Linked DNA regions of Drosophila melanogaster. The protein of the gene in region 1 purifies or fractionates together with the protein of each later gene. This does not show direct contact. Each region holds a gene or a part of one and is shown in the gene's direction. Other genes may lie near its edges.

Region 1 (4,064 bases):
CTATCTGATCAAGCAGATAAAGGAGCTGAAGCCGCTGCCCGAGGCTTAGTTGGACCTCCACCTCGGCTCCAACTTCAGCTCCAACTCCAGCTCCAGCGTCCCGGGGGCAAAAGGACCGTAGCCAGAAGCCAGAAGCGATCGATACGGAAGCAGAGAGAGCGATGGTGGGTTAGCAGGATGTGAACATGTTTTGTGTGTGGGTTAAAGCAAATATATATTATATACTATATTTTGTGACGCTGATGACTCTACACTTGTGAGTAACTAAACAATAATTTAGACAACAACAAAAACAACACTGATGATGATAATGATAAAAATAACGATAAAGCGAATTAGAAAACAAGAAAAAGTACGAGTAAATAGCGTAACGCCGAAAAATAAAACTGTACCGAGAGTTTCGAATTTAACATAGCCACATTTAGACATTCTGGGCCTAGAGATCCGCTATCCTATTATACAGATATGTTTAACCATTCGTCGATCCTCCGCGAAGTAATCCCCCTTCCTTTCCAGACCCTTTTTTTCGATATCCATTTAACTAGTTGTTGTATTTAAAATTTGATCGTTTTTGAAACGAGATATCCCTTCACCGCCTTGACCTGCCACGCCCCTTTTGCGCCCCAAAAAAAAAAAACTGAAGATTCACAATGAGTTTTGACTTAAAAATGTAATTCCACGCAAAATTCATGAAAAGAACGAAAACTAAATACTGCATAAAAATAATAATAATTCATAGTGATAATTGTCTGTGCATCCTTCGGCATGGACTCTACTATATATACACTGATATATATATATAGAAAGAGCAAGAGAAAGAAAAAGAGAGAGAAAGCATTCAACACACACACACACTACACACATGCATACGTACATAGTTAAAAGGGAAGTAAAACAAGAAACAACAACATTGCAAGCAACATAATAACTATACGATTATTATAATTTATATTATTCCCAAATTAAAGATAACAGCCAAACAAATCAGCAGTTTTTCCACTGTGGGCGGTGGTTTTCTCAGGGGGCGTGCAGCTCCCCCCTGAGTCATGTGCAAAAAATCGTGCCAGGGCGGCAACCTCACCCAAAAAACGTCGATCAAGGGCTGGGGAGATGATTCACACGCTGGGAATGCCACCGAAACCAAAAGAGATTTCAAATCACGTTTCAAGGTGTGCCTAAATGAGTAAATGAGTCCATTCCAGGACTCAGCCTGCTGTAGGAATCCCATGAAGGAGTTTTCAAATGTGTGCAGGCTTCTACTTTAATCGTTGTCGACTAGGTTTTATTACAATTATCTTAATAAATGAATTCGAGAGTTCTTAGGCTAGCTACATATGTATATATTAAGGATGGCTACATCTATCGTCGCTTCTTCTTCTCCAGCTTACGAATCTTGTGCAGGCGCGTCCGGACCGGCTCGCCCTCCCGCTCCGTCACTTCGCCGGACTCCGGATTACTTTGGCCATCCGGGTTATTCTCCATCAATACTGCGGCCGAAATGCAAACGAACTGGAAGAGAGCACCCACATAAAGCCCGTATCGGATTAGCAAGCTGAAGATGTCCTCGTCGCCGTACTTGTCCAGGGCTGCGGCGGCGCCCAGACTGTCCGCGGAAGCCGACATCGCTGCGCTGGTATTGTTTATAAACAAAACCCGCGAGGATTAGACAAAAAAAAATAACAACTACAAAAAGTTTGTTTTTTGTATTGGGTAGAGATGGTACCCTGAACCAACAGTTCAGGTGGAAACTATCGATAACTTTTTTAGGTCAAAGTTTTAAGGTTGTTAGCTCATTAACGGCAAGTATTTAAAGGCTTGCACAAAATCTTCGCTTGATTTTATTTAAATTCAATTACCTGGATTATTAAATACATTTTATAAAGTTTAACACTAGTGAAATAAATATCCCATCCCCAACACATTCTTCAGGGTTACCGTTTAAGGTATGTTCAAAACTTTATGGTATATTCCGGAGCCCTACAAAAGTCTTGGTATTTTTTCACACTGGTCTCATAGTCGCGGCTGATAAGTCGCTAATTTTTGCATAATATTAAGTATAAGTCAAAACAAACGTGCGAATTATGTCATGTATTCGGCTAGCGTCTGCCACCGTTCTGGCAGGGGTCCGTCCCCCGCCGGCAGCAAGCGGAGGTGGAGCCTTGCGCCTGTTGACTAAACGGAATCCGGATGCTGCATTCGCACGCCGCCAGTTTGCTGTAGCGGTTGAAAACGGCGGAGGCAGAAAGAAGCCGAATGGAACTTTCAAGCTCGCAGTTTTGGGGGCCACCGTAGGCGCGGCCACCGGATCGGTGTATACGATGTACCAGCGGTGGACAGACGGCAGCTCGCACAAAGAGCACGAGGAGACGAAGCCGACGCGGCTGGACGGGATTCCGGCTGGAGTGCGGATAACCAAGCGCTATGTCAACCCCAAGGACACGTCCGGTTTGGACATTGTGCTGTTCCAGTTCCAGACGTGTCCCTTCTGTTGCAAGGTGCGCGCTTTCCTCGACTACATGGGCATATCCTATGCGGTGGTCGAAGTGGATGCCGTCCTACGGCAGGACATCCGCTGGTCGTCGGTGAAGAAGGTGCCGATGGTGCTCATCCGACAGCAGGACGGCAAATACGTCCAGATGGTGGACTCAAGTGCCATCATATCCCTTATAGCCACCCACCTGCAGGACAAGCGCACCGACATCGGCGAGCTGGCACAGTTCTATCCGCACACCTCCTTCTTCGACGATGATGGCAAAAAGAAGAACGACATATTGAATAAATACTTCCTCATGTACCGCGAGCATACGCCCAAGGGAGTATCCAAGGAAACGGATGAGTAAGTTAACCAGGGTCAAGTAATCTTTTAATCAAATCTTTTAACCTTGAGTGTCTGTTCTTAGAACCGATCGCAAGTGGAGAAGCTGGGCCGACAGCCACTTGGTGCATCTAATATCGCCCAACTGTTATCAGACCATGGGCGAGTCCCTAGAGACTTTTGAGTGGTTCTCGCAAGCTGGCGAGTGGGACGTTCACTTCCCCAAATGGGAGCGCGACCTGATGGTTTACTGTGGTGCCACCGCCATGTGGGCCATAGCCAAGATGCTGAAGCGCCGTCACGCCCTCAGCGACGACGTCAGGTCGCACATGTACGATGCCCTTGACCAGTGGACCACTGAGCTGAAAAAGAGGAACACGAAATTCATGGGCGGAAAACAGCCAAGTCTGGCTGATCTATCGGTTTTCGGCGTGCTTTCAAGCATGGAGGGGTGTCAGACGTTCAAGGATTGTCTGCAAAACACCAGCATCGGTAAATAAGGTTTCTTTCTCGGGTTTTGTACCTTTTTACGAACTTTTTACATATTTCCGCAGGTAAATGGTTTTATGACGTCAAGGCGTTGGTGGAGAAGAATCGTGGGCAGTTGCAAAGAGAACGTATTGAAAACATGGCCGCTATAGCTTAAAACAAATATTTGCCCTTATTTTATCCAAAGATTGTTGAAAATAACCGAAATGTTCATTAAAATATACATTTTAATCAAATCTAGTTTGCCGTTTCGTTTATGGTATCTGAATGTATATATTTGGTCAAAAACGCGTAAGGAGTGCAAGTTTATGGTACAAATTGGAATTAATTTTAGGTTTTATATTGTTATTTTATTTATATGTTAAATTAAAAATGTTTACTAAATAAATACCTCCTGCTAATAAAAATATCCCAAACCGACGTATGTATACCTATCGATAACGTTTAAGCAGGCTGGATCCGATGCTCAACAACGGTCACATTGATTTTGTGATTTTGGTTAGCCGCTTGCAAACTTGCAAATCATTTCGTTGGTTTTTTACTTGGCGAGTTAATTGGTGAATTTCAGCACAAAACATGAGCAGATTGGGCTTTGAGCAATTCCCGGACTACCAGGTGCCCGGCATGAAGCATCCTGATTTCTCGCCCTACGAGTCCAATGGCGGGTGAGTTGCTATTTCCCAGCGGAATCGAGATGTGGAAGAATGTCTCCATCTAACCGGAGTCTTCCCTGTTTACAGCTCCATTGTGGCCATCGCCG
Region 2 (3,840 bases), on another chromosome or scaffold:
GATTGATTTATTTTAACTCTTAATGGGCTTCTAAAAGTCTAATCTGAACACAATTTGCCAGTTAGTTTCTGTTGACAAGTGAAGCACATGTCCCTTAATACCAAGAAGTTGAGCATTTTGGCGGCAACAGTTTGAGATTCACACAAACAAATCGGGAATTTTATTTAGCCAATGATGAAGAATATACAAATATGCACATATAGTCTGTAGGGTTTATAGGGTCGGAGACGATTCTGTTTCTATAAATTCCCATCGATTGATTTTTTTTAACTCTTAATGGGTTTCTAAGAGTCTAATCTGAACACAATTTGCCAGTTAGCTTCTGTTGACAAGTGAAGCACGTGTCCCTTAATACCAAGAAGTTGGCGGCAACAGTTTGAGATTCACACAAGCAAATCGGGAATATTATTAAGCAAATGATCAAGAATATATGTATAACATATATATATATATAGTTTGTAAGGTTTATGGGGTCGGAAACGCTTCTTTGATTTATATACATTCGGCTAGCATAACAAAAACATGGCGGGTTTCAGTTGAAGATTTTGTTTTGTGGCTGTCTCAAAAAACACGTGTGCCAATTCAATGTAAAGTCCTGCACAAATAATTAAACAGTTGGAAAAACGCTTAGGGGCAACCCTACTGCCAGAGTTGGCAAGCGTCAAACTCTCGGTTTTATTTCTGTTTCTACGAATTTCCTCGAAAATTGCCGTAACCTGGGGCAAATGCGAATTGAATGAAAGTTGCAGTCCTTTATTTTCAAAGTATGTGTATAGGGGTTCTAATTAATGCCTTTTCAAGTAGATATATGTATTTGTGTTACAATTCATTGCACAATGCTATTTCATTATGAAAACTTACCAAAAAGCGTTGAATTCCCGAACTTTTTATTTGTGCTAAATTTTTAAAAATAACACTATTCACTGCTTTAAGCTTTTGATTTGGTTAAATGGGTTTGGTGCGGAGTTATTTTTGAAAACTTGTTATATTTATTTTTTTATTCCGAAAATTTCTTCTCTGACCTGTGAGCTTCTGCTTCGAGACTATGCACCTTTATGATTTTCTGATTTTTAGATTGTGGCAAGCAGAACTCAAATTTTCGATAACTTTGAGAAGTGATGGAAGCTGGGACGATACATCGATAGATTCGAGAATAATATCTGTTCATGGCAATTTTATGTGCGTCTTGTTATGTGCGTCAAGTTAGCGTCGATGAGTTAGCGGCTATGTCGGAACGGAAGAAAATGGAACATGGCATCGTTTTTTATGTACTTATTAATTTTTTTTCGTATTTTGAGGTGAATTCCAGGCGGCATTTTTAAATGCTTTAAGCTCCTCCCACTGCATTTTTCCAGGATCATTACCTAATTCGGTTTAGGTAAGCAAGGCACAAGAAATGTCCCTTAAGATGGGCTAGCGTGCAATTAGGAACAGGCTCTGCGAGTGGAAATATTCTCCAAAGAATGGTGAACCTGATTTTTCGATTGCGCATTTTATATACTTTCTTGAGTCCTATAAACTTAAGTCGTACATATATAGTTGGATAATTCTTATCTGAACATTCTAGCATTTTTATTTTTTGGAATACTCCTCTAAACAACGAAAAAATAAATAATAATACACATTCGCATTGACGCGAATTTGATGCAAAACTTTTTAAGTTAGAATCCTCCAGCCGGGTGGCAGCAAAACACCGTATTGATATAGTAGCCGAACAAATTTCTGCCGCAACGACTTGATTTTACCTACAACCCATTTATTGCAACAACTGTGTCCTTATGCAGCCAGAAAAATCCATTGAAAATCTGCTAGTGAAATATATCCAGTAGCTTTGATAAGCCGAGAGCCCGCCTTATTTTGAATATTTCTGCCGGGTGGCAGCACTGCTACGTATCGTTAAGCAAACAAAACAAATTTAGCTGCCGCAACAAGTAGATTTGATTTGAAACCAGTGAAAAGAAGGTTTATTATGTCGCTCTCCCGCCTGAACACTCTGATGAAACTAACGCCCAAGCCCACGGGTAAGTATCGGGGACTTCGATAATCCGACATCCAGCCTTCTGCGTTCGAAATTTGGGTTCGGTTCAAAGTCCGAACACCGGTGATTGAACCTTTGTCTCTTCATCGTTTTAAAAGTCCAATCAATTGCACTTCCCGTCAGCCATCGGATCCCTTAAGATGCAGAGAAACCTTTCCGCCCTCCCGGAATCCGGACCCACCGGCTCTTTCAAGACGCTGGCCGTCAGTTCGCCCAAGCCGTTCGTCTTTCATGTGGAGCTCCATCGGCCCAGCAAGTTCAACGCCATAAGCAAGCAGATGTGGCTGTGGGTTATCCAATAGCTTCCCGTTTCCTGTTCCGCAGACTGCTAACCCAAACTGCGTTACCCATTTCCAGGGAGATCAAGGAGTGCTTCGACGGACTGGCCACTAATCCCGACTGCCGGGCTATCGTTTTGTCCGCCTCCGGAAAGCACTTCACCGCCGGCATCGACCTCAACGACATGATAAACGTGGGCCAAACGCTGGCCGAGACCGATGACTACGCCCGCAAGGGCGTCTCCATGGAGCGAATGATCAAGGTGTACCAGGACTCAATCAGCAGCCTGGAGCACTGCCCCAAGCCGGTCATCACGGCGGTGCACAAGGCGTGCATCGGCGCCGGCGTGGACCTGATTACCGCCGCCGACATTCGCTACTGCACCGAGGACGCCTTTTTCCAGGTCAAGGAGGTGGACATCGGCATGGCCGCCGACGTGGGCACCCTGCAGCGTCTGCCCAAGGCAGTGGGCAGTCAGTCCCTCGCCCGCGAGCTGTGCTTCACTGGGCGCAAATTCGAGGCCGCCGAGGCCCACTCCTCGGGCCTGGTGAGTCGCCTCTTCCCAGACAAGGATTCCCTGCTGACCGGAGCCCTGGCCGTGGCCGAGCTCATCGCTAGCAAGAGTCCCGTCGCCGTAAAGACAACCAAGGAGAGCCTCGTGTACTCCCTGGAGCACACCAATCAAGAGGGCTTGGATCACATTGTGGGTATCCTAATATCTCAACGAATTTGCACGAGCTAACCACGCCTCACGCCTCACACCTTGCAGCTCCTGCTGAACAAGCTCAACCTGCTGTCGGAGGACTTCGCCCAGGCTGTGGCCGCCCAGTTGACGAAGGACGATAAGCCAGTGTTCGCCAAGCTGTGATCGGTAACCTGTAATATGTAATCTGCAATCTGACAGAATTTAAAATGTATTTGCCATGTGTGCATTTATAAATACAGCATCTGCCTTTACTTTAGGACCCAAATCAGCTCATAAGGTTGTCGGGAGAATGAAAGGCTTATGACTAGGAATTTGGTTTTCGTTGTGAGCTCTTAAAACGCCTCCGCGGATGAGGCACCGGGGTTCTTCTGTTGCTGTTTGCAAAGCTCCTGCAGGGCGCGTGGATCCTTGACGCACGCCTCAGTTAGAACTTCCACGTGGCCGTTCTCGTTGATGAGCAGATCGTCTTCGATGCGGATGCCGATGCCCCGGAACTCGGGCGGCACGTCGCCGCAATCCTGGCCAATGTAGATGCCCGGCTCAACGGTGAAGACCATGCCGGGCACGATGCGTGTGTTGCGTGGCACGTGCGGTGTGTCGTGCACGTCCATCCCAAGGTAGTGGGAGACGTGGTGCGGACAGAAGCGGTAGCCCTGGCTGACCAGTTCCTTGTACTCGCTGAACGACTTGCCCACCAGCCCGATCTCCTGCAAGTACTTGCCCAGCTTGTAGCAGGTGGTCTCGAACAGCTGGTCGAGCGTCTCGCCGCCCGGCTTCATCACGTTGCCAATAATCTCCTCCTGCAGCTGGTGCAGCA
Region 3 (4,586 bases), on another chromosome or scaffold:
AGATCACCGAAGACAGCGATAGGCAATCGATACATCGAATTAACATATAAATATGAAAGTTTTTCATATATTAAGTATTTTATGAATGATTTAATGAAAATTAAATGGAATATCATTTATTCGGTTAAGTTAATTATTGCACATTCTTATACAATATATATCAGGCAAAAACCAAACAATTTTTCCGATACGATACTACCATGGTTGCATTCAGAGACATCGATAGTTGGCCGCCATCTTTTCACAGAATTTTTCCTTCCACGTGCGATGACGAAACTCGTTCATTTTATTTCAAGACTCGAAATGGTAAGTTGTGTGCTCTTCGTAAATAGTTTTATATCAAGTGAATTAAAGTGCTTAAATGGAAGAGTGTTATGCCTCAAATGATGAAACAGATGACGAGACTGAAGGAACAAATTCTCGACTTGGCGCTGTATTTTTCAGTGCCTCGTTATATATTTGTTCATTTAAGATGATTCGGCGATCTGATGGCATATAACTTCAAGAACTTTCTTTGGGTTTGGCAAGAATATGTTCTAAAAGTTCTGTATTTCTTGCAGTGAACAATATTGAAACCCTAAGCATTTGGATAAATCGAAATCCGGGCACTCCACGTGCATGGTGCATGTGAGACACCTCGGGACAACATGTGAGCCCGTTGAGACACCTTGGGCACTGAGCCCACTGGAGACGCCATTGTCACATTGGAGGTAAGATATTAATACTTTTGGTTGGTCTATGCTTCTCTGATGATCTTTTACACAGACCTGTACTGAGCTCATAACCGTGCAGAAAATTGTAAACTGAAACCTAATCAAATATATAAAATATTTGGAAGTACTCCTTGTACACACTGTATTGATGCCATTTTCTTTTATTTCCAGAATTTACATTCTGGTTTGAGGTTATGTATGGGTCCAGCTGCAGCAGCGAGCACATGGATTTACCGATAAAGGTAATTTATTTACACTAACATTTTTATGTTTGAATGCAATATACGTTTTACTGATGATTAACTTCAACACCTTTTGCGGTTTCCACCAGAAAGCTTCGGCTTAATGATGGTCTAAGGCGTCTGACTAAAAAGTTTCAATAAAAACTTTATTATACTTAAACTAGCATTTTACTTACCTATTTTATCTCTTGTTTCCAGATCAACTCAGAAATGTGGTTTATCGCAGGCAAATATAACTAAATGAGCTCGTTTATTCGACTGTATAAGGTAATATTTTCGAGAATTTTTTTTTTTAAATTAATAAATAAACTGATGATTACCTTAAACACCTTTTGCGGTTTCCACCAGAAAGCTTCGGCTTAAGGATGGTCTAAGGCGTCTGACTAATACAAATATATATATTTCGGCTGTCTTGAGATGATGTATTTAATATATTTTATATTTTACTTTAATTGCAGAGTGACGTTGCCTTGTGTAAAAGATCTTGATATAAAAAGAATTGGACATCTTCAAATACTAAAATAAATAAACTAATAAAATCAAATAATCACGAATTGTATATATTTTTTATTGTTATTGGGATGGTGGAAAAGAGCCGCAATTTGTTTAATCAGTTGTACAAATAAAGTATTGACCTTAGAACAAAGTTATAGATAGATAATGCTTTATAATTTGAATTTACCGTGCTTAACTAAACTGGTATTTATCGAACAATTTAGCACAATTGTAAGCGCACTTTACGAAAGTAATTTAATGAGATTTCCTAGTATTAAATAGAGCGCTTCCCAGAGCACTGAGAGAGTACAAAGATATTTGAATGATTAATAGTAGGTAAACAAATCTTCAAAATTGCGCGCCCAATTGTCATCCCTATTTTCCACCCCTCACTTTCGATATCGATAACATGGAAAATGAGACGCGCCGGTTTAATCAAACCGCTGTTGCGTATAAATAACGAAAAACAACGTGTTTGGAGAAAAAACTACGCTACCCAAGTGGTTTCCGGCTTGGAGGAGTGCTCACTAGACCCCAAGGAGTATGTGGACTTCAAGCGGCAGCTGCGGCAGCTCAACTTGCCCCACAAAGACGGACACACGTGCTTGCAGCTGGAGTGTCGCCTCTGCGATCGCAATAGGCAGCCGGTGACAAACGCCCAAAAGGGCACCGATCATGGGCTGCTGGCTTACGTAAACAAGCGGACGGGTGAGAGCACCAATTACATTTCGCAAAAAAAACCGTAGTATATTCAATTTTCCTTTAGGAGCCTTTATCTGCCCCAATTGCGACGTAAAAACCTCACTGACCAGCGCTTTATTATCCTATCAGTTGCCCAAGCCGGTTGGCTATAAGCAACCGCTGCAGAGGCAGCCGGTCTATGAATCCCGATTTCCCCACCTGGCCGTGGTTACTCCCGAGGCCTGTGCAGCTTTGGGAATCAAGGGCTTGAAGGAGGACCAACTAAATGCCATAGGAGCACAGTGGGAGCCGCAGCAACAGCTGCTCCACTTTAAGTTACGCAATGCCGCGCAAGTGGAGGTTGGCGAAAAGGTGTTATATCTGGGCGATCGACGGGAGGAGATCTTCCAGAGCAGCTCCAGCTCCGGGCTGCTGATTCACGGTGCGATGAACAAAACCAAAGCGGTTCTAGTCAGCAATCTAATTGACTTTATTGTCCTTGCCACACAGAACATTGAAACGCGTAAGTGAAAACATAGCTTTTAGGAATATTTTTCATTGGTTGCAGAATAGTGAAGAAATCCTAGGGTGATATATTTAAGATATCAATTAAAAATAATTTGGAAACCAGTTTGGCTCAGCTAGTACACATTTAAGATATAATTTAATTTAAAAATTAAATTGTCTCCTAGATTGCGTTGTATGCCTGCCCTACGAACTGAAGACTCTACCACAAGAGTGTCTGCCCGCCTTGGAACGCTTCAAAGAGCTCATCTTTTGGTTGCACTACGATGCCAGTCACAGCTGGGATGCAGCTAGAGCTTTTGCGTTAAAGTTGGACGAAAGGCGATGCCTGTTAATCCGACCTACTGAGACGGAACCTGCGCCACATTTGGCTCTGCGCCGACGACTCAATCTGCGCCACATCCTGGCCAAAGCGACACCGGTGCAGCACAAGGCCATCACAACATTCGGAGCAATGCGAAATGACATTCTCAGCGAGTTGCAAAACATCGAGAAAGTCAATGGAGTAAAGTGGAAGCGCTTTCCAGTACTGAATAAGCTGCTCAAAGGCCATCGGAGGGGAGAGTTGACAATCCTCACAGGACCCACGGGTAGTGGAAAGACAACCTTTATGAGCGAGTACTCTCTGGATCTGGCCATGCAGGGCGTAAACACGCTGTGGGGCTCTTTTGAGATCCGAAACACCCGGCTGGCGGCCACCTTGCTTCGCCAGTATGTGGGCTACCCGTTGGACGACCGGTTGCATGAGTTTAACCACTGGGCAGCGGAGTTTGAGCGTTTGCCGCTATACTTTATGACCTTCCACGGACAGCAGCCCCTTAAGCCGGTTCTGGAAGCCATCGAGCATGCGTCGTATGTGCACGATGTGATGCACGTGATCATTGACAATCTGCAATTTATGATGGGCGTGTCCACATTTCGAGGCGACAAGTTCTTTGAACAGGACTCTATTATAGCTGCCTTTCGCTCCTTTGCCACCAAGCACAATGTACACGTGACACTCGTAATGCATCCGCGCAAGGAGCGGCAGGAGGACGAGCTGACCACCAGCTCGGTTTTCGGCACAGCAAAGGCCACCCAAGAAGCGGACAACGTGTTGATCATTCAAGACAAGAGGCTGACTTCTGTGCGGGGCAAGAAGTATCTCCAAATTGCCAAGAATCGTTATTCCGGCGACCTGGGCATCATGCCACTGGAATTCGACAAAGACGGCTTGAGCTACTCAACCCAGATCCAAAATGCCAAGCGAAAACGGGAAAAGACGCCATCCGAGAACTGATTAGTAAGGCATTTGTTGTACTATAGGTTATAATTATTCTGTTGTCTATGGTTAGTTTAGTCTTAAGTGCATCCTTTGATAAACTGCATCACGTTGAGCTCTGCTTGTAGTTCTTGGTGTTCATGATCTTCTTGCCGCACATGGCGCATATGGCCTTTTTGTAGGCGCACGCCTGGCAATAGTGCGAACCCATCTGGTGCACTTTCTGTCGGCAGATTCTGGATAATTAAAAATCAGATTAAGATATGCAGATGAATTCTTGAGGAGATTTCCCTACCGGCAAGGTGGTAAAGCAGTCCCTATGGGATTGTATCGCTCGCGGGCCGAGGATAAAGCCTTGTTCTCGTTGATTTTACGTCCTCCCGCAGGAGCTGTGCTCGTTCGCCAGGGATTGGGCGCTGAAACTTTGGAGAGCTTGGCCTCGCACTTCTCGCAAACCATTTTTGTTATCAATTCAATTTGTTTTTTATTTACGTTTTGCAAAAACAGAGTGACCATTCCATTGATATTAATATCGATTGTTTGCTACCGATTGACCGCATATTTCCCAACTAAGTGTCTATCGAAGGTTGTTATCGACCATCTCAATTGCAAATTTTGGAAGCGTAAAATGACTACAGAAAAAGGGGAGCAGTTGAGGTAAATTAAAAT

What was found.
Region 2: the proteins of Su(P) (region 1) and CG9577 purify together in Drosophila melanogaster (affinity purification with mass spectrometry, with the first as the bait; one large-scale study listed by BioGRID). This does not show direct contact.
Region 3: the proteins of Su(P) (region 1) and mtDNA-helicase purify together in Drosophila melanogaster (affinity purification with mass spectrometry, with the first as the bait; one large-scale study listed by BioGRID). This does not show direct contact.

The regions. Positions count from the first base shown.
Region 1 is NT_037436.4:16,610,135-16,614,198, reverse strand, and holds Su(P) (suppressor of ref(2)P sterility), read left to right. Parts: upstream 1-1,999; 5' UTR 2,000-2,081; coding exon 2,082-2,836; intron 2,837-2,900; coding exon 2,901-3,307; intron 3,308-3,369; coding exon 3,370-3,461; 3' UTR 3,462-3,537; downstream 3,538-4,064. Other genes in the region: Mo25, read left to right, coding at 1-49; CG4101 (uncharacterized protein), read right to left, coding at 1,360-1,623; Prosbeta6 (proteasome beta6 subunit), read left to right, coding at 3,881-3,969, 4,045-4,064.
Region 2 is NC_004354.4:20,164,796-20,168,635, forward strand, and holds CG9577 (uncharacterized protein), read left to right. Parts: upstream 1-1,877; 5' UTR 1,878-1,969; coding exon 1,970-2,021; intron 2,022-2,161; coding exon 2,162-2,324; intron 2,325-2,395; coding exon 2,396-3,020; intron 3,021-3,086; coding exon 3,087-3,185; 3' UTR 3,186-3,285; downstream 3,286-3,840. Other genes in the region: CG9581 (uncharacterized protein), read right to left, coding at 3,356-3,840.
Region 3 is NT_033779.5:9,890,700-9,895,285, reverse strand, and holds mtDNA-helicase (mitochondrial DNA helicase), read left to right. Parts: upstream 1-1,839; 5' UTR 1,840-1,866; coding exon 1,867-2,158; intron 2,159-2,216; coding exon 2,217-2,654; intron 2,655-2,823; coding exon 2,824-3,935; 3' UTR 3,936-4,023; downstream 4,024-4,586. Other genes in the region: CG4537 (uncharacterized protein), read right to left, coding at 4,024-4,153, 4,213-4,376; CG34183 (uncharacterized protein), read left to right, coding at 4,546-4,574.